2 linked regions of the Sus scrofa genome follow. The protein of the gene in region 1 binds, or shares a complex with, the protein of each later gene. Links are inferred from orthologs where the notes say so. Each region holds a gene or a part of one and is shown on either strand. Other genes may lie near its edges. The genes, in order: KCNJ4 and TAX1BP3.

The links.
Region 2: the proteins of KCNJ4 (region 1) and TAX1BP3 are in contact, whole or in part, in a crystal structure (PDB 3GJ9), measured with the Homo sapiens proteins. The link is inferred for Sus scrofa from reciprocal best matches to the Homo sapiens genes KCNJ4 and TAX1BP3. Residues at the interface, in NP_004972.1 of Homo sapiens: Arg440, Arg441, Glu442, Ser443, Ala444, Ile445; in NP_055419.1 of Homo sapiens: Leu27, Ile28, Leu29, Gly30, Phe31, Ser32, Ile33, Gly34, Gly35, Asp38, Gln39, Gln43, Asn44, Thr58, Arg59, His90, Asp91, Arg94, Leu97, Thr98.

Annotation. Positions count from the first base shown.
Region 1 is NC_010447.5:9,545,003-9,551,151, reverse strand, and holds the end of KCNJ4 (inward rectifier potassium channel 4), read right to left. Parts: intron 5,718-6,149; 5' UTR 5,615-5,717; intron 4,015-5,614; 5' UTR 3,976-4,014; coding exon 2,632-3,975; 3' UTR 1,862-2,631; downstream 1-1,861. UniProt on the Homo sapiens protein: Inward rectifier potassium channels are characterized by a greater tendency to allow potassium to flow into the cell rather than out of it.
Region 2 is NC_010454.4:49,754,184-49,761,171, forward strand, and holds the start of TAX1BP3 (tax1-binding protein 3), read right to left. Parts: upstream 4,844-6,988; 5' UTR 4,729-4,843; coding exon 4,690-4,728; intron 1,843-4,689; coding exon 1,723-1,842; intron 1,334-1,722; coding exon 1,256-1,333; intron 963-1,255; coding exon 825-962; 3' UTR 1-824. Other genes in the region: EMC6 (ER membrane protein complex subunit 6), read left to right, coding at 5,364-5,696. UniProt on the Homo sapiens protein: May regulate a number of protein-protein interactions by competing for PDZ domain binding sites. Binds CTNNB1 and may thereby act as an inhibitor of the Wnt signaling pathway. Competes with LIN7A for KCNJ4 binding, and thereby promotes KCNJ4 internalization.

The sequences.
Region 1 (6,149 bases):
GCTGGCTGCTCAGGGCACCAAGCAGGGCTGAGACGCAGCAGGGAGGAGAGGATGAGATCCAGGGTGGTCCTCCCAGGGCTGGATGGTGGGACGGTCACTGGGGTGGGGAGTGAGACCTGGGATGCTCCCACCTGAGAGAAGGGCACCAGGCCCACGGGCATGGGCAGGTGAGCAGCTGCACTTTTGTCTGGCCGAGTGGCCCCTACGGGCCCTTGAAGGGAAGCCTGGACTGGGGCTTCTGACCACCCTCACCTTGCTTCAGGTCAGTCCCTCGGTTCTCTGGGCCTCCGTTTCCTCTCTGAAACCAAATCCTCGTCCCAAAGCCCTTGAAAGGTGTGATGCAAATGAGAGAACTTGTGATGCGTTGTTGGGAACCTGGACCCCTTTCTCCAGGAAAGAGGCCTCAGGTTCTCCTGTTAAACTGTTAAGGCATGTGACATGCACAATGATTTGCCCAAATGGCCGAGCGTTGCCAGTGCTGATGAAATGTGGTCATTCACAAAGCAGCCAACAGCACTTCCCAGCTCCTCAGCAGGTGAGCTGACCTGCTGGTTCCCCGCAGTTTTCCTGAGATAGCTGGCATGATTGCATGGAAGATTCCAGGGAACAGGGAGGGTGCCTGCTGCTTCCTTATTGCCCGAATGTTGGGTACACAGTTGGCATGTACAATAGACTTAGAGCTGGAAGGAACCCTTAAACGCAAAGTTTCTGTAATAGACTAGCAAGTCTGGCCCAGTTCCACCTGGTGTGTAAACCTTTGCGATGGGAGTTGACCACGCTCCCAAGAGGCGGAGTTTAATTTCCCACCCTTTGAATCACACCCTGGATTGGCCAATGCAATGGAAGTGATGTTATACAAGCTCAAGGCCAGGCTCAAGAGACCTTGCAACTTCTGCTTTCACCCTCTTAAGCTATTGCCCTAAGATGCCGTAAAGGAATTTGGTGTAGCTTCTTGGAGGAGGAGAGGCCACTGATGGAGAACTGAGGCCCCCTGCGGCCAACAGCAGGACCTACTGCCCAACACATGAGGGCCCTCCTGGACCTTATGGCCCAGCCAACGTTCCTGCTTGCAGGGCTGCCGGGGTGAGCCCAGAGAAACCAGACAAGGAGCCACCCAGCCCGCCCACAGAGTCTTAGAACGAATAAAGCACTGTTTAAATTTACAGTGGCTTGTACACTGCATAGGCTCACCGAAGCCCAGAGAAGGGAAGGGACTCACCCGAAGTCCTACAGTGAGGCAGAGGCCAAGTCCAGCTATGTATGACAAGGTTACACAGCTGGCCTCCAGAGCCCCTCACACCTCAGTGTCCTGCAGCCAAGTTCATGAGTCCAGGCAGATGTGTGAGTGTTTGGGGGGCGGGGTATAAACTAAGCAGGACCTTCTCGCTTCTCCCCAATTATCAAGGGTTGGCTGACATTCCTTAGGAAGGATGTGTGGTGCATCCCATTCTACAGATGGTGAAACTGATGCCAAGAGCTGATGGGCAATTTTCTGAGAGCCACACAGCTAGTTCATAGCAGTGCTGCCTCCAACCCACTCAAACCTCTTATGCCCACTTAGGATCCTTCCCACTGGCTCCCAAGAAGGGGACTAGCAAGAGGAGATAAAGTTCCCTCCAAGGGTCAGTCTCTCAGATAGGGGCACACACACACACACACGCATATATATATACACACATACACATATATACACATATGTATATATACACAAATACCACACACACTCCATACACACATATGCACAATATGCAGATACATTCCACACACACACACACACACACACGTACGTCTCATTGTTCTCTCCCTCTCCCTCTTTCCCTGTCTCTTCTTCCCAATCCTCCATCTTCAACCAGCCTAGCCCTAATGGACCATATACTTTATTAAAAATATATAGTTACAAACGCCATTGTCAGTCTGGGCTCGGCTTGGGGGCCCAGAGGGACCACAGGGAGGGAGGGCCCTCCTCCTACTCCCGGGTGTCCCACTCCTGCACCCAAACCCAGCGCTATCCAGGAGCTAGGACAGCTGGCTCTGAGGGGCCCCAGCCGCCAGCCAGCTGGGCAGGGGAAGGGGCTGGCCTGACGGGTGGGGAGGGGGAGGGATGCACAGCGAGGGACAACTCGTCCTGCAGGTACAAATGGCAGAAGGTGGGTTTGGTGCCTCCATCTCTCCCTTTATGGATATTTACAAAAGAAAGTCATGAGCAACAGACTCCACAGTCATGCAGAAGAAACGCACCCCCCTCCCGCCCCCCAAGCTAACCACCGGCCCCCCCAGAACCCCAAGATGCCCACCCCCCCCAACAGTCCAGCCGCCTTCCCCAAGGTTCTGAGAGCAAAGGGTGAATGTCCTCGAAGGGTCGGTGGGAAGAGGGGGGTGGGCCTGGGGTCCCTGAGTCACCAGTGGGTGGGCGCTGGGCAACCTGGGCTGCCCAGACTGAGGGCAGCCTGGGCCGTTCCCAGGCTTGGGTTCTGGAGCCAGTAAGAAGGGGTCCCCCAGTTTCCGAAGCCCCCCACTTCCCTCCAGAAGGTCCGCGGAGCCAGGGTGAGCTCTGTCCTGAGTGTGCGGGGGGTCCTGGGATCCCACCCCGGCAGAGGCTCTTGTGGGGAGCGACGAGGGCGGGCCTGGAGGTCAGATGGCGGACTCCCTGCGGTAGGAGATGTTGTCCAGCGGGAGGGTGGCTTGCATGCGCTCCAGATCCAGGTGGCTGCCAAACTCCAGCATCCGGATGATGCCCGCCTCCTCCTTGGAGCCCGCCTCCAGGCCCAGGCCCGCGGCCACGGCGGCAGCGGCCGCGGCCTCCTCCTCCATCTCCTCTTCCTCCTGGCTCATGAGGGCCAGCTCGTTCTCGTAGCAGAAGGCACTTGGCGGGGGCGGCGGGGCGGGCAGCACGGTGATCTTGCTCTCCTGCAGCTCCCGGGCGGAGCAGCAGGGCGTGCCGGCCACCTCGTAGGTCTTGTGGAAGCGCGAGTAGTCCACCTTGTAGTGGCTCTTCTCCTCGAAGACCACGGGCTCAAAGCGGTGGCCCCACAGGATCTCGCTGGCCAGGTAGGAGCTGCGGGCCTGGGTGGTCATGGCAGTGGCCTCCACCATGCCCTCCAGGATGACCACGATCTCAAAGTCCTCGGACTCCAGCTCCTCCTTGCCCATGCCGTACAGGGGGCTGTCCTCATCGATCTCGTGGACGATGATGATGGGCGACACCAGGAAGATGCGGTCCAGGCCGATGTCATAGCCCACGTTGAGGTCCCGCTGGTCCAGCGGCAGGTACTCCCCCTCCTGGGTCATGTAGGGCTTGATGAGCTGGGCCCGCACGTGGGCCTCCACGATGTGGCTCTTGCGCAGGTTGCCCACGCGCCACATGAGGCAGAGCTTGCCGTCGCGCACGGAGATGACCGCGTGGTGGCTGAACAGCAGCGTCTGCGCCCGCTTCTTGGGCCGGGCCATCTTGGCCATGATGGTGCCAATCATGAAGGAGTCGATGACGCAGCCCACGATGGACTGGACCACGACGGCGATGACGGCCAGCGGGCACTCCTCCGTCACGCACCGGAAGCCGTAGCCGATGGTCGTCTGCGTCTCCACCGAGAACAGGAAGGCGCCCAGGAAGCCGTTCACATGCATGATGCAGGGCTTGGGGGCCGCCGGGGCCGCCCCGCCGCCGCCGCCGCCTCCCGCCGGGGACCCCGTCGTGGCCCCTGCCGGGCCGGCCTCCAGGTCACCGTGGAAGAAGGCGATGCACCAGAACAGGAGGCCGAAAAAGAGCCAGGAGACGAGGAAGGCCGCGGAAAAGATCATGAGCATGTAGCGCCAGCGCGTGTCCACGCAGGTGGTGAAGATGTCCGCCATGTAGCGCTGCGACTTGTTGCTCAGGTTGGCGAAGTAGACGTTGCATTGGCCGTTCTTCTTGACGAAGCGGTTGCGGCGTTTCCGCCGGGGCACGTGGGCCTGCCCGTTGCGGCTGTGCCCGTGCATGTCCTGAAGCCGGCGTGCTCACCTGGGAAGACGCAGGGCCTGAGGGGGGAGAAGCCAGACACGTGAGATGCCGGGAGTGGTGGCCTCTGCTGGGGGGCGGCTCTCCTAGGACCCGGGGAACCCAGCTCAGGGCGGCAAGACACCCACCCAAAGATGCTCAGGAGGGGAAGAGCCTGGACCAGGACGCAAGGCTGGGAAAGTTAAGGCGGTCCTGCCGACAGGGAGGGAGTGCAGGGGCCTGAGCCGGTGCCTCCACGGCCAGCCCAGCTCCAGGATTGAGGGCTGCTGGACCAGAAGCTGAGGCCACCAGGATCCAGGTCCTAGTCTCAGCCTCTCACGTCCTCCCTCCCCAACTCCCGGTGCACAACCGGGTCTCCTTTGCTTGATGTTCCGATGTTCTGGAGGCTTCCTGATGCCCATCTCGGCATCGTCCTCCCAACATTTGTCCCACTTGCCCTGAACAGAGGGAGTCATGAATGCTCTGGGCCCCTGCTCATCTCCCTGGGTCCAGCCTCTGCCCTCTTGGGTCTCTCGGGGGTGGACATTCTCCTGTGCAGTCCAACTCAGCAGCCACTGGCCCCCTGTGGCTCTTACACTTAGTTAACATGAAATAAAATGTTCACTTCAGTTCCCCAGGGGCCACATGTGGCTGGTGGCTGCCGAGCTGGTCAGAGCAGATATAGGGCACTTCATCATGGGAGAAGGTTCTGTTGGGCAGGGCTGGGACCCATGGCCCCAGCTCAGTTCCTGTCCTGACCCCAGACTTGTTGGGAGCAGTGGTGGGGGAAGGCTCCAATGTGGTGTTCAAGACAGAGTTAAGGGGAGCCCTGAGCTTGGGCTCCCGGATAGGCACCCCTATTTCCATATCGCAGGTGGTAAGTGAGTCCAAATCCAGGCATGGCTAACTTCAGCCCCAGGTGCTGTCACTATCGAATAGTTCATGGTGTGGAGACCTGGAGTAGCGGAGGCAGACGCCCCATCATGTAGCTTTATATCCTCGGATAACTTATTTTAACTCACTGAGCCTCAGTTTCCTCATCTGTAAAATGGGGATCAAAATCCCACCTCGCAGGACCCCAGGAGATGGGAGGTGCTCTGTTAAAGCCAGGTGCCCTCCTGCCTTTCCGCTTCCAAGGAGCAGGATAGGCTGGTGAGAGGCAGGATTTGCCTGTCAGCATCCGCAGCTGTTTCAGTGGAGGTGGCCTCTCACCCTACCTGGTGGTGGGCCATGCCAGCTGGGCCCATGGTGGGCAGGCCCCCTTCACCCCTCCCTTCCACTGGGGCCCAGGAGAGAACTGGTGCTGCCCGGCTGGCAGGGCCGAGGTTGGGCACGGGCCCGGGTTCCTAGTAACGTTTTGGCCCAGAATTATATAAGGCTGGAAGTTTCTATTTTCTGTTCTATTCTTCTTCCTGATCTAATTGTGCATCTGTGGCAATGTTTATACACTTCCCCGGTTCAGGACAACTCGGTTGCCGCAGCAACCGGTGCGCGCCAACGCTGTAATTTAGAGATCAACAGCTTCAGAGCTGCCTCTTCCCGGGAGAAACTCCCTCTCTCAGCCCAGGGAGAGTGAACCCTGCCCCCACCGCCTCCCCCGCGGTCACCCCACCCCGACTCTGGATTCTTCTTCCTCCCCACCTTAGAAGGAGTTCCCTGGATCCCACAGTCCTGGATTGAAGTCCCGGATCCACTATGTAACTTGGGCAAGTGACTTGACTGTTCGGAACCTCAGTTTCCTCATCTGGCAAATGGGACCAATGAGACCCATCAGTCGGAAAACCTAAGCGGTAATGACTCTTAAGAGGTCATGATTTTAGCTGGTCGTCCCAGACCCTCTCTGCTCCCTCCCCTAGAATCCCAACAGCCAGGGCTCCAGGTGGTAGCCCTGAGGGGCTTGGGGGCCAAGCACAACGTCTAGGCCATACATTGTTTCCAGGAAGGTCTTCCCTCGATAAATATGTCCCTCTCTGCTCTGTCTCCCCATCTCAAATGCCTCCATTAGCACCACGGAGGAACCAGAGCTGGAAGGAAGGGTTTCGAGATCACTGATTTCCAGACTCTCATTTTACATCCGAGGCCAAGGATGCTCAGAGCCAGGATGAACTTGCTAAGGGTCCCAGAGCAGGAAGGCGGGGGGGGGGGGGGGCTGAGCCAGTCTCCTCACTTCTGCTCC
Region 2 (6,988 bases), on another chromosome or scaffold:
TGGGCACAATATGGGGGGCAGCTTCTTGCTGCCCCATTTCCACAGTAACCGAAGTAAGGCTGGTTCCCTTATTAAATGTAGTTCCCAGATATGAATTAGTAAGCTAAATTCAAAAGTTGAACTGGCATCTCCAAAGAGTAAGATAAAAACGCTTTGTATCAAAGTTGTGACTAAAAAAATACAAAAGTTAAACCCACGGGCATAGAGGAAAATGGCAATCCTGAGAACTGCCCTGAAATGTCAGCCTCGAACCTCATCTAAATCCTGTAAGCAGGTGAACCCCAGGGAGGCCAGCGCCCCTTGGTTGGGGTGCGATGGGTGAGCAGTGAGCCTGCCTGGCTTCTGTCCGGGCAAACCTTGGTAGTGTCTCTGGCAGTGTGAGTCGGTCCTCACTGGGGAACGTGGCAGGGGGTGTGGGGCACAGGGCACGGGGCACAGGCACTGTAGGGCTGAGACACGGGGCAGGGGCAGGACCATGCCCCTGAGTTTCCCAGCGGTGTGGTGCCCTCAAGTAGTGGGGGGTGGGAGGGCTCCTCGCCTGGGCACGGTTGTGGCCAAGCAGCAGGGTTTGGGGGCTGAGTCTGTGGTCATCATAGACTGATTCAAACTGGGCTCCAGGCCCTCGTTGCTAATCCTGTGTCCAAGGGAAAGAGCTCGGGCCCGTGGTGGGAGAGAAGGAAGGCTGGGTCAGGCCCCTGGGACCAGCTCTTGCCGCTCCGAGTCGGGGCCCAGCCATCAGAAGCCAGGACAAGGGACAGACAGAGCGTGGAGGTGGTGTCACTGCACAGAGGCGGGCAGGCGTGCGGCAGGGACCTTGGCAGCTGCTAGGACAGCATGGACTGCTGCACCGCCTTCTGCAGCGACTGCCGCGTCACCAGCAGCCGCACCACCTCCTCCGAGCGCTTGGTGAGCCGCTTCCGGGCCTGGTCGTGCGTGACCATGGTCATGTCCCAGCCGTTCACCTGGCCCAGGGAGAGAATGCAGCCCCCTCAGCTCGCCGCCCTCTGGGATCTGCAAGCAGGACGGGCTGTGGGGGGAACTGAGTCACCCAAGCTGACGCCCCAGATCTGGGGACACCAAGCGCCACCACACACAGGAAAGAGGGCTATGCCAGCATAGGCTCCGGAGCGGCTTTGGTGAGTCTCCCAGGTGCCCGGGGAGGCAGGCAGGGGCAGCCCCACACCCCCAAACGCACCCCACGTGCTTTAAACCCTCTGGCCCAAGCCTTGTTTTCCTCCTTTGGGATGTCTGTTACCTGCATGATCTTGTCCCCGATCTGCAGCCCGGCAATTTCCGCTGGGCCTCCTTCAGATACCCGCGTGACATAAATGCCCTGAAAAATAGGCCCCCCAAGTCAAGCACTGGGGTCACAGGACCGGCCTCTTATCCATAGAGCAAAGCCCAGCATGGCATACTCTTAGCTGTCCATGTGTCCACAGCCAGCACCCCCCAGCACAGGCTGTGCCAAGACAGCCAAGGGGGCAGCGGGGCAGCCCCACAGACGCTCCAGCCTCTGTCTGAGCAGGCTTCCTAGTACTGGGAGGGCTGGCAGGCCCTCTCCCCACCCCACCCCTCCTCACTCCCACCAGATCATGTCTTGGACCTTTTTAAAGAGGACTGCTTGCGAGAGATGAGGTCAGCTCCTTCCACAAAGGCCCAGGAAGCAGAGACCCACCATCTCAGGCCTCTGTGCCCCACGGAGAGGTCCCCAGACCCCCTCACCTTGTCTGTCTTATCTTCTGAGAAAGGATTCTGAGAGGGATCCTGGTCAATTCCACCTCCAATGCTGAAGCCCAGGATTAAGTTCTCACCTTGACGCAGCTTATGAATTTCAACTCTTTGCTAGCAAAGATAAAAAACGAGTTGGGGGCGAGTGGGTGTAGAGAATGTGGCCTGTGTCTCCAGCAGCAGCCTCAGGCAGCTGGGTAGGCTCGGAGCCATGCCACAGAGGTGGGGCCCAGGATCTCCTGCAGGAAGCCAGCTATTCACCAGCCTGGGAGGCTGGGGGGTTAAGGCTCAGAACTCAGCCACACCAACCCACCCACACAACCCTTCTCCCTAACCTCTCCCAGCTTCCTACGTCACAGGTACCAGCCTTCTTAACACAGACTAAGCCCCTCCTGGCTCTTGAGCCAGGATGCTGTGGCTGTTCCGGATGGGGTCTTTGTCCCAGGGGAGGGAACACAGGGGCAAGAGGGGTCAAGCTCTGAACAAAACATGTAGGCACCTTGCTGAGGCCAGCTCAGATTGCTAAGCCAGCCCTGTTGAGGGTGAGACAGGAGATGCTTTAGAACAGCGGGGATCAGACTTGCACAGAAGGGAGGAAGAGCTGTCCTGGCCAAGAGAACAGGAGCAGAGGCTCGAAGGTGCTGTGGCTACATTTCCTTGAGACGGGAGTGTATGGCACAGGACCAGAACCGGGAGGCGAGGTAAGGCTGAGGCGAGATGCATTAGACTGGTGAGTGCAGGGCCAGGAGACCAGCCTAAGGGACAGGACATCTCCCTAAGCCCCGGGGCCCTGCTATTGTGCAGTGTAGGAGGTGGATGCAGGGCCCAGGGCACCCTCACCACACGGTGAGATTGTGGACCCCAACGGTGCCAGGCTCCTTTCAAAGCCCTCAGCAGGCACCTTCCAGACCAGATGACCACCCCACACCCCCCAAAGTTGAGAGTTTTAACAGGAAGAAGGAAAAAACAAAGTAAAAGGCAACTGCATGTGACCTGATCTGGATCTGAGGGGCTTCATGAAGGAGGGGCCGTTTGTACCAGGCCTTGGGCTGACCAGGAGTTTGGCCACCTGACCTTGATTTTGGACCCACTGGAGCTCCCAGGAGTTGGGGAGTAGGGCTGACGGTAGATCATGGTCAGGTTTGATGCTGAAACGACCACCCAGGCAGTAAGGCAACAGATGTCTCACAGAGGTGGGACATCTCCGGATGGCCCATCATGCAGAGGCGGCAAGGGGAGCACCCAGCCAGCCATCTGGCCCCGCCTGGCTGAACACAACCATCTCCCAGATGTGGATCCCAGAGAAGGAGCATGTTGAGCTGGAGAACCAAGAGCTGTCCAGGTAGGTGTCCAGAAGGTGGACGAACCTATGGACCCAGAGTTCAGCGAAGAGGCCAAATGGTTTTAACACTGTCACAGCGTTAAGTATGTGGGAGAGGGCCTGGGGTAGGGAGGAGCCTCTTCCACCCCATCCCGGATCCAGGACACAGGAGGGAGAAGCCAGGCCCCACCCACCATATTCAAACATGTTCCTAGAGAAGAACCAGGGGGTCATGGTCCTAAAACTTAGAGGAAGGCCCAGGGGCCAGGAGAGACATGTGAGAAAGGGGAGCAGGAAGCATGACACCTGAGGCCTGCAGGACCTAGGTCCTCGTGTGTAAGAGTGTGAGCTCCTCCAGGCCTGCTCCACCTCTGGGGACACCTCTGACCCATCTCCAAGGTCTGGACTGGGAGACAAGGCCCCATCACTGACCTCCTGGGTGAGGTCAGGGAGGCTCCTGCCTCTTTGGTTCCCCACCTGCACTCCCTTTTTTCTAGCTAAAGAGCAAACCTGACCCCTTCTCTCTGGGGCAGCTAGAAGGCTGGAAAAGCCAAGCCGGTGCAGCCAGGGTGAAGCTGAGGACAGCTGTCAGCAGTCCAGGCCTGAGCTGGTGTGCTAAGCTCACCCTCACATGGCAGCTTTATCAGTGGCTCCCTGGTCACACCACCTGGCTGCTGGAGTCCCCAACACGCCCATCTGGATACTGCAGCCAGTGGCAGGGCCCTTAGGGCTACGACTTCCATCTGACCCATTCCTTGCCCAGCAGGCATTTCTGCTCAGAGATCTGGGTCCTTCTTGAAGCCTTCTTTACATGGCTGGGCATGGCCAGACATCTCTCTGGGACTCAATTTCCCCACCTCAGCCATGGAATGGGTCTCCAGGCCCCATCCAGCTGTGACATTGGCGTCTGAGTCTAATGTCCCAACTTCTCTGCCTATTCTCATAGCACTTGGCACCCAAGATGAACCAAGAGGGCAACCAGGGGCCTGAGCCGACCCCGAAGGGTCTCCTCAGGCCCCAAGTGCCAGGAGGGTGACCTGGGCTTTGCCCCAAGAGTTGTTTGGGGATCCAGGGAAAGTTCGGAGCGGGATCAAGTCAGTTGTATGAGCCTTCACTCTGGACCGACTGACTGTGCGTCCGAGAAGGCAAGGCTAGATGGGAGGGGTTGTAGGACTGTTACTCAGGCTCCGGCTACCTCCACCCGCAAGTCTTGGGCGGCGGCGCCGGCTGGAGCGGAGGAAGCACTTCCTCATTCCAGAGGCTGCGACTCATGGACTTTGGATCCGGCGCCCGCCCCCCGCGGCTACCCAGCTGGGGACACAGGCCTGGGAAGGGGACGCTTCCTAGACTCCCACAGCCGGGGCCTTTTCCCTCAGTAAGAAGAGTCCAGAGCGGCGGCGGCGGCGAGCAGGATCTGGCCTTGATCCCGGGTCTTCAGGAAGCTCGTGGGTCCCAGCCACCTCTTGCCTGGCTGGGGAAGACCACGGCTCCTGTCCCGCAGAGCGGGAACCGGAGCTCTGGCTGCGGGTTTGCAGGAGTCCCGGGTTCGACGCTTTGTCAACCTGTTTGGTGTATCAATTTACCTATCTGCAAAGTGGGGGCAAGCCAAAACTAGGAAGAGCCCGAGCGAGCGCACTCACCACCACGGCGGTGACCGGCTGGCCCGGAATGTAGGACATCTCGACCCCAATCTGGAAGCCAAGCGCCGCTCCCCGAAGCCTGCAGCGAGAATCCCGGTGGCCGCGCCCTCTCTGGTTAACAAAGGCTGCACGGCCCAGCCCGCCCCCTTATGAATAGTTAACAAGACTCCAGCGAATCACCTGCCGGAGCGCTGTCCGGCTCTCGGAAGTTCCCGTGCGTGCGTAGAAAAGCGGGGAAGTGGGTGGTGCGTGCTTGAGGCGTCCTCAGTGCGTGCGCCAGAGGCGGAGGGGGGGCGGGGAGCGAGGCCTTGGCGCGTGCGCAGCCTGGGCCTTCCCAGCATCCTCTGCGCAAGATGGCGTCGCGGGAGTCCCTGCTCTAGGCTGTCTGAGGGAACGTCGAGTGACTACCTCCGCCGCCGCGTTCCAGGTAAGTGGCCGAGTCTAGGCGGGAAATGCAGCTATGCGGCCAGCCGTCCCGAACCCTCAGCTTTCTCAGCGTTTTTCGAAGGTCCGAGACGCTGGGGGCGGGGAGGTGGTGCGAAGTCTTGGCAGCCCTAGGGAAAGGGGCGGCGTGAACCCAACTCGCCAGGCTCTGGGCGCTACTTGTAACGTGGTTCTCTCCGCAGCCCCGCGTTGCTTCGGGAGAAAGCAGAGGCCGAGTCCGGGTGGGTGCGATGGCCGCTGTGGTGGTCAAGCGGGAAGGGCCGCCGTTCATCAGTGAGGCCGCTGTGCGGGGCAACGCCGCCGTCCTGGATTACTGCCGGACCTCGGTGTCGGCGCTGTCGGGGGCCACGGCCGGCATCCTCGGCCTCACCGGCCTGTACGGTTTCATCTTCTACCTGCTCGCCTCCATCCTGCTCTCTTTGCTCTTAATTCTCAAGGCGGGAAGGAGGTGGAACAAATATTTTAAGTCGCGAAGACCTCTCTTTACAGGAGGTCTCATTGGAGGCCTCTTCACCTACGTCCTGTTCTGGACATTCCTCTACGGCATGGTGCACGTCTACTGAAAGGAGGGCAGGGATGACTTCTTTTTGAAAAGCAGATTGGGAGGACGGTTGCCGGAAATTAACAGCGTGTAGACTTACCTAGTTTTTAAATTGTTGGATTCGCTGCTTGTTCTGTAACGTTATGAATAATTTATATCTGAAGACGAAGAGCCTGTACTGTTCTTCAGATTAAATGAAGCGTGAGACCCTTTGTGGAGTTTTTTTCCTACCTTAAAGCGCCGCGCTCCGCGTCCCCGTCCCCCCGTCCCCCCCCCCCTCCCGCCGCTGTGGGTGCAGAATCGCCGGGTTTTGACTCTGGGAGAGCTCTCTGACTGCGCCTTAGCTTTCTTTCATTTCCTTGCATTGACACATGGGCTATTCGCAGAGGGGTCACTAAGGCCTAAATAAGAGAACTTATTAACATCCCGAGAACTAATAACAGTCAATACTTATTAAGTGTGCTCTATATACCAGGCATTGTACTGCGCACCTTTCACACTCATTTCTTTTTCTTTTTTTTTTTTTTGCTTTTATTAGGGCCGCACCTGTGGCATATGGAAGTTGCCAGGCTAGGGGTCGAATCAGAGCTGCAGCTGCCGACCTACCTCACAGCCACAGCAACTTGGGATCTGATCCGCATCTCTGACCTGCACCACAGCTCATGGCAGTGCCTGGATCCTTAACCCACTGAGCGAGGCCAGGGATTGAACAGGCATCCTGGTAGATACTAGTTGGGTTTGTTACCGCTGAGCCACAATGGGAACTCCTACACTCAATCTCATTCTAGCAGTATTCTTATGCAGTAGATTGATTCTTAGCCCCCACTGATGAATCTGAGGCTCAGAGAAGTTAAATACCTCTACCATAGGAGGCATAGCTAGGAAAAGGCAGAGCCAGGATTTCAGTGTAGGTCTTTTAATTGCCCGTACTGAATTATTTGAGTATATCTTTTCAGAGCCCAGTCTTCCCTCCCACTAACCACACCTTTCAGTTGTGAGTGGTGTCGTTTCAGTTCCATTTCACCAAGTCAGAGCTAGCTGTTGTTTCCATTTAAAAAATAAGTAAGTTCAGGGAGTTCTCATTGTAGCTCAGCAGTAACAAACCCAGCTAGTGTCCATGAGGACTCAGGTTCCGATCCCTGGCCTCACTCGGTTAAAGAATCTGGCGTTGCCATGAGCTGTGATGTAGATCTCAGGTGCGGCTGGGATCTGGCATTACTGTAGCTATGGCGTAGGCTGGCAGCTGCAGCTCTGATTTGACCCCTAGCCTGGGAGCTTCCATATACTGCAGGTGTGGCCCTAAAAAGAAAAAAA